2 linked regions of the Canis lupus familiaris genome follow. The protein of the gene in region 2 purifies or fractionates together with the protein of the main gene of each other region. This does not show direct contact. Links are inferred from orthologs where the notes say so. Each region holds a gene or a part of one and is shown on either strand. Other genes may lie near its edges. The genes, in order: PKN1 and KBTBD8.

The links.
Region 1: the proteins of KBTBD8 (region 2) and PKN1 purify together in Homo sapiens (affinity purification with western blotting; 3 studies listed by BioGRID and IntAct, with this or other methods). This does not show direct contact. The link is inferred for Canis lupus familiaris from reciprocal best matches to the Homo sapiens genes KBTBD8 and PKN1.

The regions. Positions count from the first base shown.
Region 1 is NC_049241.1:48,568,641-48,572,461, forward strand, and holds part of PKN1 (serine/threonine-protein kinase N1), read right to left. Parts: intron 3,648-3,821; coding exon 3,502-3,647; intron 3,206-3,501; coding exon 2,992-3,205; intron 2,214-2,991; coding exon 2,019-2,213; intron 380-2,018; coding exon 270-379; intron 171-269; coding exon 27-170; intron 1-26. UniProt on the Homo sapiens protein: PKC-related serine/threonine-protein kinase involved in various processes such as regulation of the intermediate filaments of the actin cytoskeleton, cell migration, tumor cell invasion and transcription regulation.
Region 2 is NC_049241.1:24,609,796-24,613,616, forward strand, and holds part of KBTBD8 (kelch repeat and BTB domain-containing protein 8), read right to left. Parts: intron 1,418-3,821; coding exon 954-1,417; 3' UTR 1-953. UniProt on the Homo sapiens protein: Substrate-specific adapter of a BCR (BTB-CUL3-RBX1) E3 ubiquitin ligase complex that acts as a regulator of neural crest specification.

The sequences.
Region 1 (3,821 bases), about 24 Mb from region 2:
TCATAGGGTCAGGGGTCGGGCTGTACCTCGGCCACCAGGCAGCCCTGGGGCTCCATGTCCAGCTGCACCTCATGCCTCTCATTGTCCAAGAAATCCTCCAACTTCAGGAATTTGAGGGCACAAAGGCCCCGTTGGTCCCGCCAGAACACGGCCAACTCCAGTTCCCGAGCCTGGAGGGAGAGGAACGGGTGCCATCATTTGGCACTGCCCAAGGAGGATTTGGATCCTCCTCCTGGATCCAGGCCCTGCCATCCCCCAACTTAGCTCACCCTTTCCAGCTCCAGGGTGAAGCTCTGGTCCCAGGCGCTGGGGCCACATGGCTTCCAGGATGTCTGCCCCACCACCGTGTTATCCAGCTTGAGCACCGTGCTAACCTCGCCTGGAATGAGGGGTGGAGGAGGATGTCGGGAAATGTTTGGAGTTGGGGGGAGGCATCTTGGCCCATATCTTAGTAAAGAAATCCTCCCTTCCACCCATCACATTCTGCTACGCTACCCTCACAAAGCTTTCACATCAAGGCGTTTAATCAACTTCCAGTTGATTTCTGTGTATGATGTGAGGTAGAGATCCAAATTCACTTTCGCTTTATATGCAACTTCTAGCAATATACTCCTAAGAACTTACCCTGGAAAAATGCATGCAGGTATAATGGGGAGATGCATATATACATATATATCCATATATGCGTATATAAGGGACCCAAACTAGAAATATCTATAAATAGAATATATAAGCTATAACATAGCCTTATTAACTGATATTCAACAATTACTATATTTTACTTTAAAAGGCCCCCACAATTGATATGGCTCAGTCTAATAGTCTAATGGGCTATTAAACAGGAGTTAAAAAAATATAAAAATAAATAAACAGGAGTTAAAATAAATGAATGGACTATAGCTTCATGCAACGACATGGATAAACTTCCCAAACTATGTTAAATGGAAGAAGCCATTACCATGGAATACATTCTGTATGATTCCACGTATGTAAAGTTCAAACACCAGGCAAAATTAAACTCTGTTGTTTTGAGATGTGTACATTGATGCTAAAACTACGAAGAAAAGCAGGGAAATGATAACAATGCGTCAGGGGAGTAGCTACCTCTGGACAGGGAAAGGGACTAGAAAGGGGAGGAGGGGCAAGGGGGTTTCTAGAGAGTTCTATTTCTTGACCTGGGTGGTGGTAACGTGGGTGTTTGTTCCATTGTTATTCCTCTTTTATACATACTTTTTCCTATACATCAGATTTTTTAAAAAGTGGTAAAATTCATATAACATAAAATTTATCACTGTAATCGTTTTCAAGTTTACAGTTCACACTGTTGTACAACTACACCACCATCCATGTCCAGAACTTTTTTCATCTTCCTCAACTGAAACTGTCCCCATTAAACAAAAGTTCTCTTCTCCCCTCCAACCCAACTACTGGCAACCATCCTTCTTCCATTTCTATGAATTAGACTACTCTAGGTACCTTATAGAAGTGGAATAATACAGTCCTTGTCTTTTTGTGACCGGCTTATTTCCTTTAGGGTGATGTCCTCAGCTTCATCTGTGGGGTAGCCTGTGTCAGAACGCCCTTCCTTTTTAAGGTTGAATACTACCTACTCCACCGCACACACATACCACATTTGGTTTAGCCATTTGTCTGTCAATGGACACTTGTGTTGCTGCTACATTTTGGCCATTGTGAATAATGCTGCTATGGACATGAGTGTCCAACTATCAACTTGAGTCCCTTCTTTAAACTCTTTTGTATATACACTCAGAAGTGGGACTACTGATCACATAGTAATTCCATGTTTAGTTTTTTCACAGTGGCTGAAGGACTTTATGTTCCCAACAGCACTGCAGAGGATTCTAATTTCTCTACTATCTCCCTAACACTTTTTTTTTTTTTCTTAACAGAATCCATCCTAATGACTGTAATGTATCAGTTTTTTAAAGTGTTACAAGTGTGTGACACCCTAAGATCCCCACTGCATCTCACTCCTCCAGGCCTTAGTGCCCACTCACTGGTGTTCTCAGCTTCCACTTTGAGGCTGCTCCGGCCACTGAGGCTTCCACTGCGGCTGTAAAGGCCCCGGGCTGGGCGGCTCAGGAAGGTGGTACGGCTGTCAGGGGTCCCAGGCACCCCTGCCGCGGGTGAGGAGCTCCAGGGGATGGTCTCTGGAAGGTCCTTGCAGCCTACCACACGTACCTCCAGAGTTCCTGAGGGAGGGGCAGGCTCAGGGGGACCCACATCTGGGCCAGGCCAAAAGGTGGGGACTGCAGGTGAAGTGGACATGTCCAGATGTGGCCAGCATACAATCAGGGTGGAACAGGAGATCTGATACTGGGATGGCTGTGCCCAAGTGAGAAATACGTGACAAGGGGGAGGGGGGAGACTGGGGTGGGCCACACTGGGAAGGGGCTCTGAATGCTTGGGAATTAGTGACAGAAGATAGGTTTAGGGCACAGGCTGATGATCAAGGCAATGGGGAGCTGGGTTGGACTAGGGGTTCTGGGGTAGGATTCAGGGAGCTGACCTGAGGTCCGAGATGGGGGCAAGGGTCTAGGGCAGGGCTGGTCTCTAAGGGAGAAGTAGTAGCTGAGCGGTCTAAGGAGGGAGGAGCTGGCTGACTTTAGGGTGGGAGAAGACAATGGTTCCAGACTGAGGGTTCTGAGAGTGAGGGGTGGTGGGACTGGGCTGGGGGGCTCTGGCTGTAGGAAATACCAGGGCCAGGTAGGGAAGGATAGTGATGGGGACATGGTGGGCATGGGGGCCAGAGTCCAGAATCAGCGGGCAAGCCGGGGCTAGAAGTCCAGAGTGCATGGGGGTGTCTGGCCTAGGGAAATGGGGCCCAGGGCTACAGGGTTAGGGTGAATGGAGAACGGAGGGAACAGTGAGATGGGAGTCCAGGGGTAGGGAGAATGGAGATTTAGGTTAGGGGTCTCAGGACTTGGGGAGAGGCCATCCAAAGTACAGAGCTGAGGAGGCAGGACCCACCTGTGAGTGGCGCGGGCTTGCACAGGGTGCTATAGGGCGTTGGGGGAAAGGGCCCGGCCAGGCGGGCACTGAAGGCTGCAGATGAAGCCGCAGCAAGCTCCTCCCGCAGCAGCCGCCCCTTCGGGTGGTCTGCGGGCAGCTCCCCGAGCCGCCGCTCCAGCGCCTCCCGCAGCAGCCCCAGCTTCTGGTTGGACTCGGTTAGTTTCTCCTGGGCCTGCGACGGGAGGGACAGAGTGTGGCTGGGGGGGGGGGGCCTAGCTAAGTCTTACCTGGCCTAACCCCTCAAACCATCGGGGTCCTATTCCTTGGCTCTCGGAGCGTTAGACCCCGCCCTCGACCAAGGCCCCGCCCTCGACCAAGGCCCCGCCCCCGACCGAGGTGCCGCCCACTGAAGCCCCGCCCCCGGCCGAAGCCTCCACATCCCTCAAGGCCCTCCAGGTCAATTCCCGCCCCTTTGCTGGACCCGCCCCCTTGCTGGGGCCCGCCCCTCGCCGAGGCCCCGCCCCTCACCTCGCTGACGGCCTTGCGGTCGGGAGCCTTGGCTGCGCTGAGCAGGCGAAGCACGTTCTTGGCACCCTCGGCAACGGCGTGCTCCACTCGGAAGTGGTGCCTCAGCTCCTCGATGCGCAGCTCCACGGCCCCCAGGTCTGGACTCCCTGTGGGCGTGGGGTGCCAGGTGGTAAGGCCAGCCTAGGACCCGGGTTCAGCCACCCCAGCCCCGGACGCACACTCATGCATGGAGACAGGCACTGGCCACCAAGACGTATCACGTTTTTCCCAAGCAAGCGGTCACAGTCGGTCAGTCACACTTCCACCCAGATGCAATCACT
Region 2 (3,821 bases):
GGCAACAAAATGGCCCATGTTAGTGCAAACTGAGTGTCATGTTCTCACTATTCTAAAACTGAGTCCAGTTAGAGATCTTGCTATCACTTAAGCAGAGAATCTTGTGAAATCACAAGAGTTCAACAGGTAAAGTACTATGCCACAAAACCAGCATACCAACTTGAAAGGTAAGCACAGGCTCAAACAACTTCAACCCATAGAGCTAGACCCATGAATTCACTTATACTAGCACCAGCCACCTGCGAATTTAAGCCCTTTTCGGGATTCGTAAATAATGAGACAGTGTCAGCACTTGAAAAAGTTATCAACAACAACAACAACAACAATAAAAACAACTGCTACTTTAAAACTTTAGCTTAACTTAAAGTTACATGGGAAATATGAAACAAGCAGAGTAAAAGCTCTTTCTTAGACGGATTTGTTTTCCATCAACCTACTCTAAAAACACACTTAAATCTCAGTACACTTGAAAACAGTACACAAATATATTATAGAATGAGGATCTAAGTTAGTGCTTCTCTGTGTTGGAGAGGTCACAGCTAAAGTCCTAGTGATATTGCCTCAAATTTTTACCCGTATTTAAAATAAAAAGTCACAACAAACTAGTTTGGATGTCTCTAACCATAATACCCTAACTGCTCTTATAAGAGTGCATAGTTGTTGATTCATCTGGTATCTCAGTGATGAATTATCACAAAATTCTAGAATGAAAATGATTACTATATACCAGAAAAAAAATGCTGATAATTGCACTTTGTTACCTTTTGCTTAATGAAATGAAAACATCACAAGGATGAAAAGAAATCCCTCTCTACACTGTAATCTTTAAGAGCACCCATTGCCATGTACAAACTCTCTCAGCTTCTTAAATACTGACAGCACTTCTTGTATCATTGAAAGACTAAGTTCTCCAAGCACAAGATGCCAGTGAGCTCACTAAGGCCTGCTACTCATTAAAGTACTTTCTGAAGACACTGAGGGTAGAGTTTAGCAACAGCACATTCAAAATGCCGGCCAAGGTCCCAGAGGCGATCTGGGGTCTCGTACACTTTCATCCATTGGTCAGTGATGTCATCATATTGGTAAAGGGAATTTTTCCTGCTGGTTCTGAAGACATGTTCTTCAACGGTCACTTGAGTAGCTCGAACAAATAAATGCAGTTTATTCTGGAAAAGTACCAGTTTAAGGTATGGATTGATGGACTCATCACATGGAAAGTCCTTCTTCCGAGTCCATTTATTTAGCTCAATATCATAGGCTTCTACAGTAAACATTCGTTGATGATTTCCACAGGTTCCAGCTATGTAGTAGATAGAGTCCTTGTAGACAGCTGCTAAGCCCTGGATTCTAGGCACAGTCATGGGGGTTAAAAAACCCCAGTAGTCTTTTTGAGGCTCATAGAAGAGGAAAAATTCTCCTAAAAAAAAGAAAAGAAAGAAAGAAAGAAAGAAAGAAAACCAAGAATATATACATTTACATGTCTCTTTTTGGTTAGATGAACCGAAAGCATAATTTTTGAAAAACATAATTTTCTGAATCTTTCACTTTCTAAAATATTTCTTTTATAATCTCCAGAGATACATTATATAGTATAATATAACTTAAAACTTCTTCATTCCACAGCAGAACATAACCTAATATTATAGTCAACCTGATTTGGGGCTTTGTAGTAGGGAGGTATAAGGAGTTACTTTGGCTTAGAGGCAGAATAATAGTTGAAAGCTTGGCTCCATTTATTCCATTCACTTGTATATTTCAGAAAATTTATTTTAAGCCAGCTCTAAAAGAGCATTATCACTAATGGTTAGTCGGTAAGATCAAAGTATGTATACAGCTTCATCATGAATAAGCCACTACACATTTATATGCTAATTAATTAGAAGATAGCACATGGAATTGTTCAGATTTATGTCTATGGGCCATTAATATGTTTCCTTTAGTGCTGCTATAACACAAATCGTTAAGAGGACAAAACATGGCTTTGATAAGATAGAAAACACACAGTTCATGGAGTTGACTTCAGGTCACTTTCAATTCTATTTTGATGATAAAAGGGTGTGGCTGAGTCAGACTGCCAATATAAAAATGTCTAAAAGAATTAAACTAGTGAAGATTTACAAGAATTTGGCTAGCTATAATATTTGTATAAAATCCTTGATTTAAAAATCTGGATCTTTTATGGACATTAAGTGATATTCCAGTAGCCGCATATAGTGCAGCATAAGCCTCTATTTATATCAACTTTATTTATATAAAGAAGCTTTGTTTAGATTAGAAATACCTACTTCTAAATTGAGCTTCCCCTTCAAAACTGTTTTGAACGAGGTTTACTCTTATCTACAAACGTAACTGCCTACTTAGTAACACTATAATTTCAATTTTTCTTAGAAGAGCTTATTAAACCACCAGCTTTTGGTTGTATATATACCCTACCCTCATTGACTTTTTAAAAAAATATTTTATTTAAATTCAATTTACCAACATTACCCTCACTGAGTTTTAACAGGATTCTTAATAAAGACAATAGAAAACAAAACTTCCTAACATGCACTACCTCTCTACAAATTTCTTATAAAAAGATGACTCACAAGTTAATTTTTAAAATATGAAGTCCTCTTAATAACTTAAACCAGACAGCAATTAAGAAAACTAAATTTTAGAGCCTCAGATTTCTCTTATAGAAGATATAACCTCAGATTAAGCAATGTTCATTCCAGTCCTGAAATTCTATTAATTCATTGTTACTTTTAGTATTTACATTAATATATAACCTTTACCTTCCCACTGGAAGTCTTTTAATTAATTCTATCTAATGGTTAGCCAGCAAGACCAAAGTATATGTAGAGAAAGCTTCATCATACTGGATGATATAACCTGTCCAACCACCCTGGACAGATTATACATCCAGTCTTATCTTCCATATTCAGCAAGACGAGCAAACCTAATCATGCCCGTGCTTCTACTGAACTATAGTAAGGTACTAGATAGTTAATATTCCTTTTGGAGAATTAACTTGATATTGAAGTTTAAACAAGTGGGTTCAGGCATTTCTAGTCAAATAAAAGATGAGAGCGAAGAACATACTCTTAAATGGTGTAAGAGCTAAAAAATCATGTATATTTACACAGAATCGCTTTTTTCCTTGTTTTATAAACGAATAGTGTGAGGAAAACATATAAGCAATTAAGAAACCCAGAAGAGGAATAAGGATGCCAGTATTATCATCATCGCTTTCAACATTCAAGCAACTAAAATGTTTAAGGAGCCAAACACAGAGAAAACATTAGGTATCACAAATTAGAAGACCGGATCAAATATCTTACTTATACTTACTTGGTGCTTCTTTCTACTACTACTCTACACTCACCTTTGCCAGAGTATTAACCTTCAATAGTTTAAACAAAACACTTTTTAAAGCTAAATATATTAGATATAAATAGATGCTTATAATAACAAACGTAAAGAAAAAGGGGACATCTCAAAGCTTTTCAGTGAAAAAAAACTGAAAACATATTATGGAAGATATCATACACTGCAGTGAAATTAAAATCTAAAGACTGTAATTTCAAACTCTTTATAATTAAGTTTCATGACCTTCGCAATCATAAGGCTTATCGCAAAATTCTTTGTTCTTTCTTCTCCTTTAAACTAATCCAGGGATCCCTGGGTGGCGCAGCGGTTTGGCGCCTGCCTTTGGCCCAGGGCGCGATTCTGGAGACCCGGGATCAAATCCCACATCGGGCTCCCGGTGCATGGAGCCTGCTTCTCCCTCTGCCTGTGTCTCTGCCTCTCTCTCTCTCTGTAACTATCATAAATAAATA